Tamandua tetradactyla: one gene and its partners. The protein of the gene in region 1 interacts with the protein of each later gene in a biochemical or structural test. Links are inferred from orthologs where the notes say so. Each region holds a gene or a part of one and is shown in the gene's direction. Other genes may lie near its edges.

Region 1 (7,227 bases):
AGAGCCCCAGCTCTGAGGATGATGGCCTGTCCACCCAGAGCCATGGCTGCTACAGTCAGTGGTCCTTGATCAGCCCTGGACCCAGCCATCACAAGGGTGGGTCCCACAATCCTTCCTTGGTGCAAGTCCCAGTGATGTCCCAGGTAGGGGGTCAAGGTGACACATGGAGGGTGAAGCCCTCAAGTGAGGAGTAAGGGACAGAGTCTGCTTTTTTGATTGGGGCAGGACAGAAAAAGTCACCTTCCCTAATGTATGGGAAGAATTTTTGTTCTCTAGAAAAATCAGATTTGCCGAGAAGGGCAATGTTGGTGCTGACTGGTACATCGATTCAGGGGTGGGTGGGGAGGAGGAATAGGAAGAGATGTTGGGGTGGGGGCTGGCTCAGCCCTTCCAGCTTTCCTTGATGGCTAGTGCAGAGGTGCTCAGAGATTGCTGAAAAGTTCATTTTTCTTGCTCCAGTACATCTGCGGGGCCTGTTTGCAGCGGTATTTCTGATGTGTTCTGTCTTTGGCCACATCCAGGGAGATGGTGAAGTCCAGGATGGGGTCAGAGGAGGAAGAGGATGCTGTGGGGTCCTGTTCTGGGACTGTCCTGGGGATTCAGCTCCTCACTGGTATTAGACCTCCTTTTAAAAAGTTTTATTGTGGATATATGTATCACCCAATTTTCCATTTTAACCATTTTTAAGTGTACAACTCTGTGGCAGTCCCAGTCAGGATAATCTCTTTCTGAGTCACTCATCTGATTGGGGACTTTATATCTGCAAAAAATCCCTCTCACCATGCAAAGTACAAAATCACTGGTGAATATCACACATACCACAAGTCTTGCCCACCCTCAAGGGGAGCATTATTCAAGGGAGTGGGTCACTGGAGGTTATCTTACAATTCTGCCTACCATACTGCTTATCTGTGGGTTCTAATTTCCTTTTTATGAAGCATGTGAATTACTTGTAAAATAAAGAAAAACAGAATAAAAGTTACTAAAAACAAGAACAAAACAAGCAAACCAGTTGCCCATGAAAAATACAAATGCTGCAGCATAAGAGATTTCTCTGGTGGGTCTTTATAGAAAGGATGCTGTCAGAACCTTTGTCAGAATTCCTTGGGGCTAGTTCTTATTACAGCTTCTCTGCAGGACACTACCTTCGTGCCAATGTGTAGGAAAAGTAATTCTGCAAATAGCTACAATGACAATGCAGCAGTCCAGATTTAGGCAGAATGGCCACAGTCTAGAGTTCACATGTAGCATCTAGGACAAATTGACTTAATCTGGGCTCTATAGATGTGCTTTGGAGGAAACTTTCCATGAACTTCTGGAAAGCATATGCAAAATTTTGTGCATGTGTGCATTCCTTTGAGAAGGTCCACTGATTTCATCAGATTCTCGGTAGAATGTTTTTGATTAAAAAAGAGCAAAGAATCACTGCTCTAGGGCAGGGTCCCTTTATTTTGGCACTATTGATATTTTGGGTTGAATAATTCATTGTCATGGAAGCTGTCCTGTGAGTTGCAGGATCCTTAATACCATCCTGAGGCCAGGAGCATCCTCTAGCTGTGACAACCAAAAACCTTCAGACATTGCCACATGTACCCTGGGGGCAAAATCCCTCTCGGATGAGAACTGCAGTATTCTTTGGAGCTCAGAAGAAAGCTTTCTTCCAAGATGTATTAGTTAGGGTTCTCTAAAGAAACAGACTCAACAGGGAACACTCACAAATATAAAATTTATAAAAGTGTCTTATGTGACCGCGGGAATGCAGAGTCCAAAATCCACAGGGCAGGCTGTGAAGCCGACGATTCCAATGGAGGGTCTGGATGAACTCCACAGGAGAGCCTCACCAGCCAAAGCAGGAAGGATTCTTCTCAATCCTCCTTAAAAGGCTTCCAGTGATTAGATTGGGCATCACTCATTACAGAAGACACTCCCCTTTGGCTGATTACAAATGGAATCAGCTGTGGATGCAGTTGACATGATCATGATCTAATTCTATGAAATGTCCTCATTGCAACAGACAAGTCAGCACTTGCCCAACCAGACAAACAGGTACCACCACTTCGCCAAGTTGACACATGAACCTGACCATGACACAAGCTTACTCAGGTTATTGGCAAAATTCAGTTCCTTGGGGTTATAGGACTGAGAATCACTCCCCCTCCCCCACAACACACACACACACACACACACACACACACACACACACTTTGGCATGCATGAGAATCCCCTGGAGGGTTTGTTAGAACAAGGCCCCTGGGTCCCAACCCCAGAGTTTTTGATTCAGTTCTTCTGGGGTGGGGCCTGATAATTTGCTTTTCTAATTAGTTCCCAGGTAAAGCTGACAGTGCTGTTTTGAGAACCACTGGTCTTCTGGAAGAAATGGCTGAATTCGATGTAAATCAGGCTTAAATCTGGATTTAAAGCCGTCTGGGTGGAAGAGGCAGCTCTATCAATTATGATCATGGTAGAGATGATAATTACCTCATTTTAGCCATAACAGTTTCTTCCCGGATAAATCAGGGATAAAATAACTACCAAAAGGAGTTTTGGTAAAGATGAAAAGAAACAAAGTATGCAAAGCACTTTGCAGGGTGCCTTATATTGTAAGCTCTTCATGTATGGTAGCTATTGATTGGGCTCTCATCATTGAGAACATAAGCATTTCCTCATGTCCTGCATTTATTCACTCAGTAGATATTTATTAACTGGTGTCTATGTACTGGTTCTTTCTTAAGATGCTGTACCTTATTTCACTGTACCCTCCTCAAACCCTTATCTGGTGGGTATTATCATCATCTGCTTATTCTTTGTGAATGGCAATTCAATGCCTATATAATATTCCATCTAATTTTATTCCTGGCCCCTCCCTTCTGAGATTCAGACCCATAGGTATACCTGGATGATCTCCCGGAAGGTTGAATTCAAGCTTTTACCTCTAACACACAGTGCCTAGCACCTAGTAGGCCTTCCACAAATAGGAGCTATTACTGGCCACCTACGTTATTTTTTAGTCCCTGTTGTTGAATCCACCTCCTTCCTTTACTCCTCCATTAGCTCCCAGAGTCACTTATTTTCTGTCAGTAGTCTTGGCCCTGGGTTAAAGCTCTGATTTGCTGTCCCAGTGGGGAGGCCACAGGAGAATCGAGTCCTGTTCTTTCACCCGCAGGGAAGAACTGAAGCAATGAAAATGAAGACACTCCCACGCCAAGCCAGTATTGCCTAGAAAAATCAGTTCGGTGGAGACAATTTGCTAGCTGCATCCAGGACATAAAGTTAAGTTCCCCAGATGAAATCTCTCTTGGTGTGCCAGTAAATGATTGCTGAGGCAGGGCTGGTGTTTCATGGCACAGCAGGGGCTTGCCGGGAACAGCTAGATTTATCCATTATCCACTTACAGCAACAGTGTCTGGAGAGTGCTCCAGAAGTGTAATTCACGTTTCGTGGCTGCAACAGGGAGCAATTTGGAAGTCACAACCAGGGAAACATGGTCGTGACACCAGCAGGCTCTTGATCTGCGAGACCTAGGTTCAAATCCCAGCTTTGCCTCTCCCTATTCCAGTAAGTTCACAGTCTTCTACCGAGCCTCTCAATTTCTTCATCTGTAGGGCGAGAGCGATGCTAATGATTATTAACATTTAAGGAGCACTTACGGTGTGCATAACATTGCTTCTATTTGGATAGTAATGATTATTGTAAAATAGGAAAATATAATTTATTAATTTAATACAGAAAGGTGTAATTGCCTCTCACACCCGTTATAACTCTTATAATACTAAACAATAATTAATACACGTGTATAGTTCGAAGATGCAAATCACATAAAGTACAAAATGAGAAATGCTTTCAATTTTACGACAGTATTGGACCTTCAAAAACAGCAGTATCACAGCAGTCAACCTATTGTTTGTCAGACACCGTTCTAAAACTTTATATGTTAACTCGCTTAACATTGCGAGGTAGGCACATTATTATCCCCCTTCGATAATATTATCTCTCCTAAAGCGAAGCAGAGAGATCTGGCTGGATAGTGCCGACAACCTAAGAAGACTCCACAAGCGTTCTAAGTGTTCGTGAGGTCACTATATGTAATTAAGGGCCAAACAGGAATATTCAACGCGTGTCCGAAACGCACTTTCCTACGGCGCGACGCTCGCGCGTGCTGCGTCCAGAAAACAGTGCCTCAGAGGACCAGGGGAGGACCTGGCTCCCTCGCTGGAGCCAGCCCGTGCGTGGGGACGCAAGAAAGGCGCGTCGGGAGCTGACGCCTCAACCAATCTTGCTAGAGAAGGCGTGAGCCTAAGAACAAAAGTGTTCGGAGTGGCTGCTGCTCCAGCCACTCAGGGCCGAGTCCAAGCTCTGCATCTCCAGTTAGGGCGCAACTTCTAATTGATGGAGCCGCTCTGAAGGAGGCGGGACGGAGCTGGAAAGCCCCGCCTCCCTTGGAGTTTTCAACCAACCGCACAGTCGCCGGGCTCCGCAGGGTGGCCCAGCAACCGCCGGGTTCGGTTGCGCTGAGAGAGGGGCCTGAGGGCGGGGCGGGAGCGGGCTGGGGACTCGGGTGAGGGGACGCTTCTCGGGGGCGCGCGGAGCGGGAACGGTGACAGGCCCGCGCGCGCGAGCGCGTCGCTCCCGGCTGCAGCTCGGCCCTGCCACTCCGGTCGGCCGCTGAGAGGCGCGCGGGGTCTGGGCCGCCGCCGTCGGGGAGGGCCCCATTCCCGGAGGACCCGGGGGTCCCGGGCATCCCGGGCGTTCCCGAGCGCCGGGCTGCGCCCGCCCCGTTAGTACTCGCTCGCGTCCTCTACACGCGGCGGGCAGGACCCGCCCCCCGACGCCCCTTTCGGCTCCGGGTTTCAGGGTCTTCGCGGCCCATGCGGGCCGCTAGACGCCCGCGCCGCAAAGACAGCTCCCGGGCCGGCCGGCCGGCCACCATGGTGGCCCTGAGGCCTGTGCGGCTCCTCCAGGGGGGCTAAGAGATCCAGAGCGCAGGCTTCGGGGCGGGGGTGGTGGTGGCAGGGGGCCCGGACCCGACTCCCGCGCCATGGCCGGGGCCATCGCTTCCCGCATGAGCTTCAGTTCGCTCAAGAGGAAGCAACCCAAGACGTTCACCGTGCGGATCGTCACCATGGACGCCGAGATGGAATTCAACTGCGAGGTAACGCCCGCAGCCCCGACTGGCAGCGGTGAGGGGAAGCTGGGCCGAAACCCCTCTCCACCAAGCCCCGGCGCGGGGTTGGGCACCGACCGAGGCGCCGCTGCCACGGTGACAGTCCAGGTGGAAGTGTGAGGGATTCTGCTTACATCACCTGCTGATCGTAGGTAGAGAGGGTTAGAACCAGAAGGGTCTGTCTGGGCTTAAATCCTCGTGTTAAAGGTGTTTTCTCTTCCAGGGGCTTTGAGGGTTTGGGAGAACTTTCTTTCTGGAGGTTGTTTTCATTCATTGCTATTGGAAGAGGCTGGAAGCATCTGTGGCAGGGAATTATCGCTCTCAGTTTCGAGCTTAAGCTCTGAGTTTTTAACTTCATTAGGTAATGGAGTTTTTAACTTCATTAGGTAATATTATTAAGCACCCCAAGTATTGAAAGTTGCATCTTGTCTATTGGAAAGCCTGTCCTTGCTTCCTGTTTTCAAAGTTTAAATTTTCAGGAAAAGATTCTTTGACAGAAAGGATGGTGGCTTCTATTTACTTTTCACTATTACTCCAGGATGATAATAGTTATCGTTGTTGAATACTTTCTAAGTGTTAGTCATGCACAAATTTGATCTTCACAACACAAGGAGGTAGGTACAATTATTATTATCATTACCCCCCCCCAAACTATATATCTAGTAAATGGCAGAGTGGGACTTTGAACCAAGCTTTTAGTCAGCACAGTACTGTTTTCAGGTAATTAAGTTTTTGTTACTCAGAGTGTGGTCTACAGACCACAGCATCAGCAGCCTTGACCTAAGTCAGGGATTGGAAACTTTTTTTTCTGTAAAGGGCCACGTAGTAAATATTTTCGACTTTGTAGGCCATGGAGTTCTCTGTTACAACTACTGAACTCTTTAAGCCTACTGTTAAAGTGCAAAATCAGTCTTAGACAGAATTGACTTCCAGTATGACAATGGGATGGGCTCCACAGACCCACTGGGGTTCTCACCTGCCATGCTGGAGATTGGGCTTCAATTCCTTGAGCCTGCTTATGCAAAAAGAAAAAAAAAAAGGACAACAACAACAAAAACAATTATTTATTTATTTTGGCATGGGCAGGCTCCGGAAATCAAACCTGGGCCTCCGGCATGGCAGGTGAAAACTCTGCCACTGAACCACTGTTGCCCACTCTAAAAACAATTATTTTTTAGATTATTATTATTTTAACAATTATTTTTAGCTTTTGGAAATGGTCCTAAGGGTGAGTAACAAAGAAAGAAAATCTACTCAAAGTCAGTAAGAAAGACAGGCGTCTGTGGTATTTGAACCAAGACAGATCCCTCCCTCCCCACAACCAGCTCAGCAAGGTGGGACTGATAAATCCCAAGACTGGTACAGTCAAGACCACAGGGCTCCCTCTCCCTCCAGCTCGTATTTGGAGGGTTTTCTTCACGGGAGAAGCAGGACTTCAGTGTTTCAAATCCTGTCCCCAGCCACCTGTTGCTGTGGCTAAGTCCTGGGTGAATGTGGTCTAGAGGTGGTAGCTCTAGCACATGAGATGGTGGTTCCATGCCAGGAGACGCAAGCCCAGTGCAAGATGTCCCCAGTGCAAGATGTCACTAAGAGAGCTTGCTAGTATCCCCAAACCCAGTTCCAGAGCCCTAGTTCAGAATCTTTTGTCTTGGTAGGAAAAGCAGGTCATAAAACAGATGTTTCCTAATCTCTTCCCAAAGGACTGACATCGTTTGCTACAGAGCATTGAGAAGTTTGTGCCTAAGGGTGCTCTCAGAGACAGTGGTGTATGTGGAAAATATTCATGGATTTCATGAAAATTCAGCCTAGGTTGTTTGCTGGGTAGTTTTTGGGAAACAATAGGGGAATTGGACCCCTGAAGGAGCCCTTCTGTGATCTGAATAAATATCACATACTGATCTGAGAAGCTATTCCCTCAAAGGAGCCATAGTTCGATTAGGTTAGTTTGTATAGCAGTTTATTTCTCAGGGTATTGGTGAAAATAATAGACACATCAACCAGTAATTAGTGTAGCTTTATGACTGGGTATGGTCAGGGAAAGAGAGGAAGAGACCATTACGCAAACC
Region 2 (8,081 bases), on another chromosome or scaffold:
CTACAGACATGTTTTGTCTATCCATTCATCAGTTGATGGACATTTGTTTTTTCCCCCAGTTTTTGGCTATTAATAGTGTTGCCATGAACATTCGTGTACAAGTTTTTGTGTGGACATATGCTTTCAGTTCTCTTGGGTGCGTTCTAAGAGTGGAATTGCTGGGTCACATGATAGCTCTATGGTTAGCATTTTGAAGGACTATTCAACTGTTTACCACAGTGGGTGCACCATTTTACATTCTCCCCAGCACCTGCATAAGGGTTCCAGTTTCTTTTCATCTTCACCAACACTTGTTATTTTCTTTCTTTCTTTTTTTTTCTTGCCATCTTAGTTGATCATGAAGTGGTATCTTGTTACAGTTTTGACTAACGACTTTGAATAAATTTTCATATGCTTGTTGGCTAGTCCTCTTCTAAATCCTTTGTCCATTTTTTAATCGGGTTGTTTGTTCTTTTTGTTGTTGAGTTGTAAGAGTGCCTTACCTATTCTGTATGCTAGACTCTTATCATATAGATATGTTTGCAAATATTTTCTCCCATTCTGTAGGTTGCATTTTCACTTTCTTGCTATTGTTCCTTGATGTACAAGAGGTTTTAATTTTGATGAAGTCCAATTTATTTATCTTGTTATTTTTGCTCATGCTTTCAGTGTTATATCTAAGAATACACCGTCAAACCCTTGGATTACATTTTGAAAGAAAAATAAAATGATAGATTTATATCTGCAAAATTACATACTTCAACATTTTATTTGGACTTGAAAATTATAAATGTACATTCATCTGCTAATCTGTTGATTAACAAAGAGTTTCTCTGATTATGTTTACTGAGTGAAAGGCCACCTCCTTTTCACATAAGCCATGGCTATATGATATACAGTTCTGTTTTCTTTAAAGTTGAATAAGAACTTAGAGATATTTGCAAAGCAATCTGACTGTTCAATATTTCAAAACTTTTGTACTTTCCATTCTCCCCCAATTTTTTACTATCTTCCTCACACATAATCTAATGGCAGTATTTTTTGCCTTTAATCAGATATTTCAAAAGTATACAACTTAGTTTTTTCTGAAAGAACTCTGACACTCATATCTCATTAGTTTATGTAATACTTAGTTCTAAGTATGACTGGCATAAACAAATTTGGGAACAAACTCAACTGACTTAGTAAATATATAGCTCAATGGGTGGAAACAGAAATGCATGGGTGTACCAGCATCTAACCTACTTGCTGAGTGGGGTTAGTGTACCATGGACATCAGCCAATGTGCTTGCTACACTGAGGTTTTGGAATAGAGTTAAGAAAGTTTCTCCTCTCCTATTCTAGAGGTCTAAATCCAGAATTACTTTAAAATAATTAATATGCAATGATCAAGCACACAATGCCCTGACACGCTACCTTCTAAGCAGGTGCCTCTGGCCTAATGATTGGCTGTGTCAACTTGGGCAACGAATGTGACCACCAGTGCCTCAGTTTTCTCATCTCTAAAATGGGGCTGATATCTGATAAAAGAGCAAAATACGATGATATTTGCTAAAACTCTGTAAACTGGAGAGCATATTATAGTTGCTACTTAGCATTAGAACGCTGAGACTAATTATCCTGATTATTTTATGAGTATTTATTTCTAAATATTTGTGTCACATTATATTCAGATTTGTCATTATACGCATAGTCTACTTATTTATGGATTGATGGAACCCCATACTAGAACGAAGGATCCATGAAGGTAGTTAGCTTTCACTGTTTTGCCCATTACTCTATTTCAGAGCCTAGAATAGTATAAGGCTATTAATTCATATTTGTTGAATAAGTGAGAGAATGAATTGTTTTATAAAACAGCAAATGTGTTGTTAGTGCTCAAAAATACTCATTCATGAGTAATGATGGTTTAAACATATCAGTCTTTAGATAGTCCTAGTATAAAATTAATGTGTGGAAATCCAAATGAAATATTTCTGATATAAGGAAACTTTCCAGACTAGCTGTGTTAAAAAGATGTCAATTTTAGAAAGTATGTAAAAATTAAGAAAATTTATTCAAATTTTCAAATTTTGTCCTGATTGTAAAATTTTAGGCTACAGGCACAACAGAAGACAAGTTTTAATTGGGTTAATATAATATAAATAAGGAAATTACCATTCCCTTTTCTCTAAATAAAACATGTAGCTGCCAATACTGCTATTCTCCAATATCTCATTTCCCCTTTCTAGGCACAAGGAGGGTTGTACATTTCTGGTGCTTTAAAGCAATGTACAGCCATGTAAATTGATTTTTCAAATTAAATGTGGATGGAAGTGACCACGTGTCATTTTTGTGTAGAAGCATTTCATTGCTGGAGCTTAACCCTTCATCACACTTTTCTCTTACAATGGAGATTGGGGAAGCATGCCAAGACATGGACATACCATACTATTAAAGTGTTCTAGAATGCTGAGCTGACACGTGGAGAGGACAGTTTCTCCAGATAGTTGCTTGAAACCATGATTGACTTTGCATAAGCAATAAATTAACTTTCTTTGTGTTAAGCAACTGGGATTTGGGAATTGTTTGTTATCGCATCATATCCTAGAGTGTACTGATATATATATTGACAAGATTTTCATTTATACTTTGAAAGAAAAGTTAAAATGACAACTTATATCTGCAAAAACTTTTAATAAAGTGTTATTTCCATGGTTGTTATAGATATAACAATGATGAATCCTAGCTTCCTCTAAATGAATTTTGATTCTAATGTGAGGATAAACCCCTCAGCAAAGCTACTTCTGAGATAGTTGGGAATAATCATTTGGAGTTATCATCATTACTGCCTAAGGTCTTTAATCTCTTTCTAGATTCCTGCCTTCCACGGAGATGTCTTCTTGAACAATCTCTCCAAATTTGAACCGTCTTTTCTTTGCCTATATTTCTTTTTGGTCAATGGGTAATACATTTTTTTCCACCAAAGGTAAAATTCAAAATTGTGAGGCAGGTATTTATAGTGAAGTCTGAATACTTGCTTTTCACTTTTTTTGAAATATTAGAGTAACTTGTTAAGTTCGTGTGTGCCCTCTCTCTTGTGAAGGAAATTAAGAAACTTAAGTGGGAGTAGAATGGGGTAGGGAGGTGATTCATCCATCAAATGACGATTTATTCAAGTACTCTCTGTGGTAAAGGAAAACACTTAAAAGTCATCAACTCAGAATAATATTGGAAGAATTTAAGCTGAAGCATTTCCCAGTGTTGCCATTGTTTTCTTTGGTATTTTATTAACATTGTGGGTGGGGAGGTGCTAGAGGCTGTGACTTAAATAAGTGAAAGGGAAACAACTTTCATCCCTAGTGGATTCCTGGTATTTCCTCTTGAGGGTAGCTTACATCTTGATTCTCTTTGATTCCTAAATGCCTGCTCTGTGCAAGGTGAAAAGCTCTCCTGTCGTCGGGGAGTTCCCCTTCTGTTTGTGTTGATCAACCTTCTGAGAAAAATGTTAAAGTATCTGCCTTCCTCGATCTCTTTCATATATATCAAAAGTCAACCTTTGTACAAACATTCATGCCATGATGAAGGCCTGAAAGGAAGAACTATCTTTAGTTTGTTGGGACAATTTCATTTCATCTTATTCACAAATAATTCATTTTAAAATACACTTAGAAATATAAAACCATCAGGTCTCGACTTTATTGATTGGAGACATAAGCCTGATCCAAACTGAGTCAAAAGCCTGTTTTGTTTTTTTAAACTTATTTTTTTTTAATTGTAAAAAGTCTGTTTTTGAGGGTGGATCTTTAGGGGGGAAAGGTCTGGAGCTTTTTCAACCAAGGAAAGTGCTCTGAAGGGGCCACAGCACTGCGTAGGCCGTCACAGAGCAGGGAGAAAACCGGTGTCCGTGAGGCTGTTTTCTAAAGAGCGCTTCTGTGATGACACCACCTTCCCTCCCCAGTGGCTGCGGCTCCAAGGTTTATACACAGCCTGGGGGGCTGACGGGGTGGGTCCGCTGGCTGTAAAGAGGACCTGCACTTGACCCAAACGTCGGATGTCTGTCTCAGGGAATGGGGGTTGGGCGAATTCAACCCCCAAGCCACCCCTGGGGCGTCTCCTGCAGCCAGGGCGCCACCAGTCCCGAGGAGTGACTCCGGAAGGGGACCGGCCTCAGGTTAAAGCTCAGCTTTTGCGTTTGGGGGGAGAAGCAGGAGAAGGATGAGCTTTTTGAATAGGGTCAGTTCCCAGCTACCCTGCCGGCAAGGGTGAAAAAGCATTCACGAAGAAGGGTCTCTACTTGGTAGAGGAACAAACCCCATTTCCCCCTTCGCCACAGGTTTCCCCATCTCCCTTCTCCAGGCTGGGCGGAAACTACAAGGCATCACCACCCAGATCCAGGACTAACCAACCAGAGGACACTAAAGCCTCCCTAAACACACGACAAACGCGACAACATCAAGGGCGAAAAGAGGCTGCCCAAGTCACGTAGAAAATTAAGCTGCCCCTTTCCCCGGCGATAATCGAATTAGCCTGAAATTAAACGTGAAATTGGCCCTCGCCGGCTGTGAGAACAAAGCTCCCATTGTCCCTTTGCCCGGGTAGCGGCAGCGGCGGTGCCCACCGCGCCAAGGCCACTCCTGGCCGGTCCCCGCGGCAGGGGGCGAGGTCGGTCCGCGGCCGCGGAAGAGCCCAGGCTTGGGAGAGCGTGGACGCGCCCGAGGCTCGGCTCCGGAGCGGAGCAGGAGCTCAAGCAGGCGTCTTCGGGGCTCGGGGTAGACGAGAGGGAGGAAGCCAGGGTGGAGGCTGAGTGGAGGCTGTGCCGGAGACACTCGTGTACGCGTGCGTGCGTGCGTGTGTGTGTGTGTGTGTGTGTGTGTGCGCGCGCGCGCCCGGCGCCCGCGCCTCTCCCTCTCTCCGCCCCTCGCCCCCCTCCGGGCCTGCCTGCTCTCCCCCCTCCCTTCCCTCCTCCCCGCCCTCTCCCCGCCCTCCCCCCGCGCTCCCGCCCAGCCCCCGGAATCAGTGCAGCTGTTGCCGTGCAGGCTGCGGATTCCTCCAGTCCCTCCCTCCGCCGCCTCTCCTCCCGGAGCGAGCGCGCAGCCCCGCGCAGTAGCGCCCACCGGTCCCGTCCTGTGAGCCCCGGCCCCCGCCGCGGACAGCCCCGCGTAGTCGCCTCCCGGCCCACCCGCCCGGCCGCCGAGGAGCCGGAGGAGGACGGGACCCCGGCGCCCCCCAGCCCACCCTCGGGAGGTAGGTAGGGGGGTTGAGGCTGGAAGATGCCAACTCACTGGGGCTGCGTCCCGGGCGGGCTCCGCGGCGGCGGCGGTGGGCGGGAGGAAGGGCGCGGGCCCAGGACCGGGGAGACGCTGCTGTCCCGCCGCTGCCCTGCTCCCGGGGGTGCGGGGTGGGGGCAGGAAGGCTGTGGACCCGGGCGGAGGCGGCGCGGGGAGCCTGGGGCTCAGATGCTTATTAGTACTCGGGTTTTTCGGGGCGTGGGGCGGCGAGCTCCGCAGAGGCAGCTCCAGATGCACCGTGCTCAGCGCGGCTGCTCGGCCCCATCCCCGGGTGCAGCAGTGCCGATTCCTCCTCCCTGTCTCCGCCGCCTCCTCCCTGCAATCGGACGCAGCGGTCTCTGGAGAGGGCGTGGGTGGGGAGTGGGCAGCCGCGAGGTTATATTTTCGGGTGCCCTCCCCGCAACCCCGGCGGGTGGCGAGCGGGGGCGGCTGTGACAGGGCCGGGCGCTGAGCGTAGCAGGACTGGGGATGCGGCCAGGCGTGGTCCGGGCTGCACCGCGCTGCAGCTGAGCCGGAGGCGGCGACCGGCGGATCCCTCCCCGCCCCCCCCCCCGGTCCCCCACCCTCCCTGCCGTTCCCACTCTCCTAGGGCTGGGCGGGAGCTGCCTTCGGGCGCGGAGCCGCCCCTGCGTCCGCCTTTCGGCTCCGGACACAGGGCCCCTCAACAGGTTTGTACCGCTACGGGGGTCCCTCTGGGTCTGTTTTGGGGTGGTGGACTGGAAGCCCGTCTCATCATTCCCCATCCAATACCTGCAACCCTCTTTTTGGAGTATGCCTTCCCTTTGTTTTTTTGTATTTTTTTTTCTTTATGATAGGAAAGGGAAAGGTGCCAAGTGCCTGCCATCAGATGGGGGTGGTGGGGAAGGAATCAATACCCAAACCATGTCCATTATTTCCCAATCAAAAGCCACGCCAGACCGTAAGTGAGGAAGAGGGCGAGTGTGGTGTGTTTCGGCGGAAAAGAAAAATGGATTCGATGAGATTTCTTTGGGAGGAGGGATGTGCATTTTTGGCAAGATGGATGGCTCCCGGTGCCCTCGCCGTGATGCAGCACAATGCAGCAGTATCGCAGCCTTCCCTGGTTCTCGCTGCCGGGCTTGGCACGCCACTGGGCGCCTGCGGCCCGCGCCCGGCCCCACCCAGGCCCGGGCTGCCCTTGTCTGGGGCCCGGAGCGGCATCCACCTTGGCTTGCAGCTTCAGCTGACATGACGCCACAGAAGGACCAGGTCACCTAGGTGTGAGAGGGTAGAGAGTCTTCCCCACCGAGGCGACGCCTCCACCCCGCCTGTTGGGCTGAGCTCGACCAGGGGGAGCCCCTCTGCGCTAATACAGGCAGATCCGGCGGGCCTGCGGGTCCGAATCCGAACCCGGAGCCAGGACCAGAGCCGTAGGGAGGGGCTGCAGGAAGGACGGGGCCGAGTGGCGAGCGGAGGCAGTGGTGCAGTCAGCCTGGGAAGTCGCAGCCTCTCAGTGGATATCCAGTAATCTGTACCCACACCCCAGCTATGCATCAATTTTTTTGTACCTGAAAAGTTGATATTTATTAATTGGACCTTCACAGCTATGACATTACAGTACCTCGTCTGACTTTGGCCAGTACTCAGAATATGAGTTTTTCCTATAGAAAACCACTTTTTAAAAATTAAATGATTGAAATATTTTAATTCTTATGCATCTGATACATTTATAAAAATGTTAGTATTAAGTAGGTTGTTTTAGAAGGGATATATAGATCCCTTTTAAATATATACATTATTTTGATGGGTAATAAATGATTCCTTTTAACTATAGATGCTTTGTTTTGATCATTTGCTTTTCTTGTAAATCAAGTATAATTACGTATTTGGATTCTTTATCAAGGATTAATAAAGGATTAATGATATGTAAGTGATTAATGAGAAGTGGTATTCAGAGTTCTACTGATGTAGATAGCCAAGTTAAGTCTCCAGGCATGACTAACAAAATTATCATGTTAACTGTATTTATGTTTGATTCTGTGTATTTTTGTATGCATATTTTTTCAGGTACCAGAGCACGAGAATGCAGCTGGGGCAGGCGGGTTGAGAAGGGCAGACCACAAAGGTCTGGTATCTGGTCAGAAGGAGATGGTTCTCGGTGTTCTTATCTTTGTTGACACACAGTGAATTTCTCTTCTAAATGCCATGCCTATAATTCACTTGTTCAGAGTGGGATGGCAAGTGGGATACATTTCATATGTCACCCTACACTCATCTAAGATGTGTAGGTGAAAAAGGATATTTCAGTAGGCTAACTGGAAGGGAAGGTCAGTGTTTCAAAGCCAAAGGTGTGTCTACTTTTATTCTTTTAATCTGTAATGAATCCAGGTTAGCAGTATTTGATTTACGGGGCTCTGCAAAGCAGAACTGAATGTCAGTTGTGTGGTTTATGTGCATTATTTTGAGTTTCTCTAATAGAGGGCCATTAAAATATGGTAATTTGTGGATGTGGGTTTCCTTATTGTGCTGGTTGTGTAAAATCGTGCTGCACAAGGCTGTTTGCCACTATTGTTTCTACTGGTTGTCCAGGACATTTCAGATTGATTGTGTTGTAGGAAACATCCTGTGTTGATGTCAGAGGAGGTCTAACTGTTCTGATTTACACACCAGGTGCAGAATTCTGTTTAAGCTCTCTGTAACTCTGTCGTTTCTGGATTGACAAAAACCTTCATCTGAGAATGAGAAGCACTGGAGCAGTGAAAGTGCTGCTGTCACTTGGTTGTCTCTTGGTGTTGAGGCTTTCTCTGAAGAATATCTGTTGGGTGAGACTAGTAACAACTGAGACGTTGTAGAAGCCAAGTGAGAAGACCTCAC
Region 3 (6,949 bases), on another chromosome or scaffold:
TTCGCTCCATACACTCCTGCTCACATTTGGTTTAGATTTGACTTTTGGCTTGCTTAAGTGGAACAAGATTTATTACAAGTCAGAAATCATCATGCCCCAATATTTTAGGGGGAAAAAACCCTAATCTGCTAAAATAAGCCGTGCTCTTGCTCCGTGTGGTCCTTCCTAAACCAGCCACCCCAGAGATGATAGTACTGGTTGCATTTGTTTAGAAATTGTCGAGATATTTAAGTGCTTCCACCTATTAGCTCATGGGATTCCTGAAATAACCTTCTAAAGTATGGCAGGAGGGAAAAGAACAATGGCTGTTCACGCATTTACATAACGCTTATTGTTTGAGCTCTTACCGTAGTCAAGACACTGGGAACTGAGGATGTAGTGATGCCTAAGACAGACATGTCCCTGTCTGGGGTTGAAAGCCTGTGGGGTCATTGAGTTCCCCCATGAGGCAGGCCCTTAGTAAAGGGTATTGATGCAGACATCACAAACTGTGAGAAAGGTTTTATTAACCTCATTTTGTAGGTGAGATAACCGAAACCACTAGAGGTTGGGTCTGAGTAGGGTCATTTGGCTGATAAGGGTGAGAGCTCACGCTCTCGGCTTTCTCGGTCCAAGGCTGCTGATCATGCTGGACTTTCTCTAAACCAGATGATTCATGTCAACCCACATCAATTCAAACTTTTTTCCCCAGTTTCCCACATCCCATGGCTTGGTTTAGAAAGGTATCTGATACAACACAAAACAGATACTGAGCAACTAAAATGAATAACTTTCATGAGTTTACTCTTACAGGGCTCAAAGGAGAGCAAGGGAGGGTCTTTGTGTAACCAGTGGGAGGTGCTGAGGGGTGAGCAGGAGGGGATGTTTGGGGCGGAAAGTGGATGAGAGGGGACCTCAGAGAAGTGATCCAGGAAGTCCCAAAGGCTGGCCCTGACTCAGTAAGTAACCAGATTGATTATTTGAAATGAGTCATTTGTGGCATGGGGGCAAACAACCTCAGTCCCTCACTAAATTATCGGGAAGCAGGAAGGCAAAATATCCTCCCCTGGGAGAACGATCCTAATTACAATCCTTAGAATTTGCATGCCCCTTTATAGTCTGTAAAGCATTTTCATACCTGTTTTTACATTTGCTGATTGTTTTCTGCAGAAAGGACCAGGTTTCAAGATGACCTAAAATAGTGATTTTGCATTTTTTTTTTCCATTTTGTCAAAATGAACTCTCACACCGTGCTGTAGTATATAAAACAAAAACAGTGGAACTGCTATCGTTGGAATGGAAGCAGAGAGAAATACAGTTTCTAACTAACGCCCACCCCATCAGATAAGGAAAGATGAAACACGTGGTGTCCAAGCTCTTGCCCATGGAGGCCACTGGGGCTGGTTTCTCAGGTGGTCGGCTGATTGTTTCAGAAAAGTGTCCCGTTGGTCACAACAGCAGGACCAAGCTTTCCTGCTACTGGTAGCACTTTTTGAAGTGGCCTCTCTTTGGGTGGGGGCCCAAGGACACTGCCTTCGTTTCACGTAAGTGACCCTTTGACTTGGAGAATGCAGCCACCAAGTGGTTGGGAAGCAGGACCAGACAGCAAGTTTCAGCCCAAATCACCCTCCCTGGAAAGGTCCTTCTTGAAACCTGCATTCAAACAGACTCTCCCCAGCATGGGAACTGACACTGACTCCCTACTTCCCTACAGGATCAAGTTCAAATTCCCTGGCAGAGCTTACATCCCAGCCCCGCCCACCTCTCTCACCTACTGTCTTCTTGTTCCCTTCCCAACCTCTTCATCTGATCTAACATGGTAGTCATCAAACTGCACTCCACTCCCTGAACAAGCCATGCTCTTTTACTTTTCCATAAACACACACAATTTTGTTATTAATAATAATAGCAAACGCCCATAGAGTGCTTTCTATATAGAGCACTTTTCATTTATTTGATCTTCACAACACTTCTGTGTAGCAGACACAATTTTGAACCCCATTTTAAAACATGAGGAAATTGAGGCGCAGAAAGGACCAGTTCAAGGTCGCAGAATTAGGATGCAGTCAGGCCGCAGTTTGAACCCAGGCATTCTGATTCCTAAATTCTTGTTATTAATTACTACAGAGGACTGCCTCTTGATGCTTTGCCCCTGCTATTTCATCTGAAGAATTCTTACTCCTCCTTTGAGACCCAGGCTTAAATATCACCTCCACCGTGAAGCCTCCCTGGTGTGTTCCCCTGCAGAGATTGTGACTCCCTTCTCTAGGGTTGATGGCATTCTACACACACATTTTGCAGCACATATCACATTGAGTGGGAACAGCTTTCATGAGTTGGATTGCTGGCCAGAGTTGGGACCCCTGAACACAGGGCCAGGTCTTATATATCTCGAGAACCTTGGGCACTCAGTATATGGTTGGTGAATGAATGGGTAGGTGGATGCCTGGGTACATTTTCTCCAAACCTTCCCATTCCCTTCAACAAATAACAAATTCTTAGTTTTCCTCAGAAATTCCTGCATGTTCTCTTCAGGACCATGCCCCAGCCACTGAAAACCACAATAGCTTTCTGTGTGAACCAGGTGACAAATCATTCAGCTTTACTTTTAACAGTTCACATTAAAAATAAGCACTGCTTTTGATTTCCAAATATTAAATCATAGTATATGATAGATATATACATAATTCTGAAGTGAGATATGAGTTTTCAAACTCAAAATGCCTCCACTAAAGAATGTGACAATCACCTCCTCTCGTTGATATTTGCTGAATAGGATAGTTGAGGGTCAGCAGATTAATGCCTGTATGGATAGATAGGAGTGTGAAGGGGAGCAAGGAAGAATGGACAGGATGTGTGGATGGACGAGAGGGTCCCTATTGAAATATGGATAAGTGGATGATGGACAAAGTATATACAGATGAATGGATTTGTGGGTGCACGGATGGAGAAGAGGATGGTAGATGGATGGCTGTAGGTTTATGCAGAGATGTGAAAATGATGTATGGAATGATGGACGAGAAGGCATACGGGAGGATGGCGGGAGAATTTGGGCAAACGGATGGAGAAAAGAAAGGGTGTGTGGTCGGATAAATGGATGGGAGAAAAATGGTGAATAAATATGTGAGGAGTTGAGCAAATGTGGAAAAGATGGGTGGATGGAAGTATGAGGGGAGGATGGCTGGATGGGGGCACGAACAGATGTGGGGGCATGGAGAGGACGGGAGAAAAGATGGGTGGATGGATGGATGGTGGTGGGGACGGATACTCGGGAGGATGAATGAGTGTGTGTGGGTGGACGGGTAGACTGGAGGGTAAACTCGTGGGTTTAGCCGAGCCGATTCATCAGCCCCATGGTTGGCCATCACTAGCTTGCCTTGAGCAAAAAATCCACCCAAGTGAGGTGGGCTTTGCTTCTATTTGAGGGGAAGAAGCCTGTGCTCTCCCTCCCTCCTCCCACCCCAGGAGTGTCACAACCTCTCCTTCCCTCCCCCTGGGAGGGGGGCACCACCGTCCAGTGCAAGGGCCTCATCTCTGATCTGGCTCCTCTTCCAGGGTATCCCGTTGCCTGAGAAATCCAGCAAGAACCATTCCCAGACAGATGCGGAGAGAAGCTCTGAGGACAGGAGAGGCCAGAGCGCGAACCTAACGGGGCGAAGTTTCAGGACTCGGTCATCTTCGTTCCTTAAGCCGCCACTCAGCTGGCCTGGAGAAGAGAGCCGGCCGGCCCTGGGGGGCGTGGGTTGGGGGACTGCGAGCCCCCCGAGGCCCCCGGCGCCCCCCAGGAGCCCTGAGCTACGGTCTCCCCAGGAAACCGGGCGGGGATGAAGAGGCCCGCGCCAAAGAGGGCTGGTACGTCTTTAAACCTCTGCTTAGTCACAACCCCTCGCTTGGGTGTGTCCTGCGCTCGCGCCCTCCCTCCCTCTTAGGTCACTCTTTCAGCTCCTGAATAAAAACTGCAGCCAACTTCCGAGGCGGCCTCATTGCCCAGCAGGACCCCCAGCCTCTGACAGGTTCGGTCCTCCCTCTTCGCCCCGTCCTCCGCCGCCCCCCGCCCCGCGCACCGGGACCCTCCAGCTCCAGTCGCTTGCTCTCTCGGTTCGCTGGGACCCCATGGCCACGTTCTGGTGGCGCGCAGCCTGGGGGCTCTGCCTCATGCAGCTGAGCCTGGCGCAGATCGGTGAGTGCCCGCCCGAGCGGGGCAGCGGGAGGGGGCGCCAGGAGAGCGCGGGAGCCGCACGCAGCCCCGCAGCCCCGCAGCCCCGCAGCCCCGAGCCCCGCAGCCCCGCAGCCCCGAGCCCCGCAGCCCCGCAGCCCCGCAGCCCCGCAGCCCCGCAGCCCCGCAGCCTCGCAGCCCAAGTGGGTCCTCGGGGATCCGGAGGCGAGCGACCTGGATTTGGCTAAGGAAAGCCGGGCTGCGATGTGCGCTAAGCAGTAGGCGCGTGTGTTGGTGGGAAGTACCGTTTTGTTGAAAGCAAAGAGAAAGCGAGAAGAAAAGTTTGTTGGGCAGGTTGCCGGCGCGCAGAGATCTGGGTGAGGTCGCTAGAGCCGAAGCACATGGCAGAAAGTAACTGCGCTGGATGTGTGCAGCCGCGTGTCCCAACTGACAGGCTCCTTTGCCCAAGGGCGCTGGAAGCCCGGGCTGAGCTGTGTGTGCCCTAGCAAAGCAAGGCCAGAGGCTGGGGCAGGGACAGGGGACAGGAGCTGGCTTAGAGGTAAGGCAGCGGCAGAGACTGACACAGAGGCAGGTCAGGGGCTGTGGCTGGGAGCAGGAGCTGTTGGCAAGGTGGTCACGTTTGCGTATGAGAGAGCCCGTGACAGTGAGCTTTTTAGAAAGGAGACCTAGATCCCTGGAGCTCCCCACTGCGGCAGGGCTCTAAGGCTCTTAGGGTCAGCTGCAGTCACTGCTGGGCTAGAGAGCTTTTTGGGAACTTGAACTGGCTTAGCAGGAGGTCTCTCGGAGCTCCCGGAGGTGCCACTCCGGACTGGGGATGTGAGTAACAGATGGAACCACTGGGCGACCTGTTCAACCCTTGCAGCCTCCTATTTCTAGTTAGTCTGGGGAATTCTAAACGGAGAAGATGAGCCTCAGCAGCGCGGAGAGGAGCTTGGGCACTAGAGTGGAATCAGAGACTCTGGAGCTGGGGCTGCCATGCCCGGTGCAAATAGGGGTTGAGCCGTTGAGAACAGTGGAAGGGAGGGGCTGTGCGTGTGAAGTGTTCTAGCCCAACTGAACTCCAAGCATCCCCTTTTTTATCTTTATATGTGCAGATAATTACATGGCCGATTTACTTATCGCTAGCAAAATTAATTTTTCTTTTAAGCAGTGCCAGCTGGGTCATTAAGATAGCCCAGCCAACGGTTAATTCTACTCAGCAAGAACTTATTAAACCTAATTCTGGAGATACCAACAAAGTAAAAGACACAGTCCCTCCCTGGTATTTCAAACTGAGGATATGGCAATCCAAATTTCCTAAATTTAGGAAATCTAAATTTAGGATTTAGATTTCCTAAAACAAAAGATCATAATAATAGCAACAATAGCAATAGCCACCGTTTATTGGACGCTTCGGCTGTCCCAGGCACTCTGTAAAGCCTTTACATTTCTTATCTCATTTTACCCTCACAATGACCCAGTGAGAAGGTCCTGTTATTATCCTGCTTTATAGGAGGGAAACGGAGGCTCAGAGAGGTTAAGTGGTATGCCCGTATCATAGCAAGGAGTATGACTGGATTTGAGCCCATGTCTGCTGAGTTTCAAAGCCTGTACTTCATTGGAATATGTTGGATTGTGTGAAATGGACAAACTCAGAAAGGATTTCAGGGCAGAAAGGGTTTGGGTGGACCAGAAGCCTTCAGGAGGCTTCCAAAGGGAACTGGAGCTCCAGGGGCCCTTGAAAAACAGGAATGCCTAGGATGGGAGAGAAGAGAGAACTTGATGGCAGGAGGAGCCCTGGGTCTGGCTTCAGAGACAAGTACTGTGGGTGGATTCCCCGTGGCCGCCAGAGAAGTTTATTTACAAGTTACCTGCTGGACTGTCTTGGGCTCTGTCTCTGAGGATTCTGACTCCTCACGCCTTCCAACCTCATCTCCCTGATTTGTCTAAAGGGTCCCACCTCCAAATACCTGGCACCCTGACCCTGAAGCTTCTCTTGGAGAGCAGCAGGCTCATTTGAGCCCCATGTTTCCACAGTCCCTTTGGGCAAAGTCATTTAGAGGAAACCCAATGAAGTGCCAGTAGCAATAACTGCCTCGGCCTGGCTTTCATGTGCTTGTAAAGTTGTTTGGAAGGAACTGAGACTTGGAAAGGAGACATGATTTCACAGAGGGCTTGGGGCTGGGCGGCGGAGGTGAGGCGGAGGCAGAGGAGTGGGGAAGGAAAGGCGGAGCTGTTGCCCCATTCTGGGGAGTGGCGGGCTTTGGGAGACAATGAAGAAACTTTGGAAGGGACAAGATTTGAGGAGGAACTGGAAAGCAAGAAGTGGAGAAGTGGCCAGATAAGTTAAGCAACATTGAACACCAAAACCCTCGGAGTTGGGGAGCAGGTGTCTTGAACTAGGCATCCTTTGCAGGAAGAAGAAAATTGCTCCAGGGAGAGGCGAGGCAGGGTGAGCCCTGAGCCTTCTGTGAGCACACGAGGTCACTGTTAGGGAATTGCGCCCCTGGTGTTGAGAAGGGAGGTTGCATCTGCGAGCCTAGGATGTGGGGGCTGCATGCCTCTTTCTGCTCCCGCTGAGTATTAGAGACCCCTCCTCTTGCTGGGCCTTAGGGCTTCCGTTGTGTTTTCCCAGGTGAAGAGATAAGGAAACCAATCTTCATCTCTGCTGAGGTTAGCATCACTTAATTCAGTTATTCCCCAGACATCTATTTCCTTTAAAGGCCCAGTGCCAAATATGTTTGATGTTAGCAGCCAGTAGGAAAAGCTTCCATTTTCTTGCAAATTGCCCTCAAAGGATCCCCTCCCCTTCAT

What was found.
Region 2: the proteins of NF2 (region 1) and SPTBN1 form a complex in vitro, tested with the Homo sapiens proteins (2 studies listed by BioGRID and IntAct). The link is inferred for Tamandua tetradactyla from reciprocal best matches to the Homo sapiens genes NF2 and SPTBN1.
Region 3: the proteins of NF2 (region 1) and CD44 form a complex in vitro, tested with the Homo sapiens proteins (2 studies listed by BioGRID, with this or other methods). The link is inferred for Tamandua tetradactyla from reciprocal best matches to the Homo sapiens genes NF2 and CD44.

Annotation. Positions count from the first base shown.
Region 1 is NC_135331.1:33,434,422-33,441,648, reverse strand, and holds the start of NF2 (merlin), read left to right. Parts: upstream 1-4,131; 5' UTR 4,132-5,035; coding exon 5,036-5,149; intron 5,150-7,227. UniProt on the Homo sapiens protein: Probable regulator of the Hippo/SWH (Sav/Wts/Hpo) signaling pathway, a signaling pathway that plays a pivotal role in tumor suppression by restricting proliferation and promoting apoptosis.
Region 2 is NC_135343.1:26,797,660-26,805,740, forward strand, and holds the start of SPTBN1 (spectrin beta chain, non-erythrocytic 1), read left to right. Parts: upstream 1-5,041; 5' UTR 5,042-5,205; intron 5,206-5,822; exon of another isoform or gene 5,823-5,917; intron 5,918-8,081. UniProt on the Homo sapiens protein: Fodrin, which seems to be involved in secretion, interacts with calmodulin in a calcium-dependent manner and is thus candidate for the calcium-dependent movement of the cytoskeleton at the membrane.
Region 3 is NC_135334.1:111,512,961-111,519,909, forward strand, and holds the start of CD44 (CD44 antigen), read left to right. Parts: upstream 1-3,909; 5' UTR 3,910-4,092; coding exon 4,093-4,159; intron 4,160-6,949. UniProt on the Homo sapiens protein: Cell-surface receptor that plays a role in cell-cell interactions, cell adhesion and migration, helping them to sense and respond to changes in the tissue microenvironment.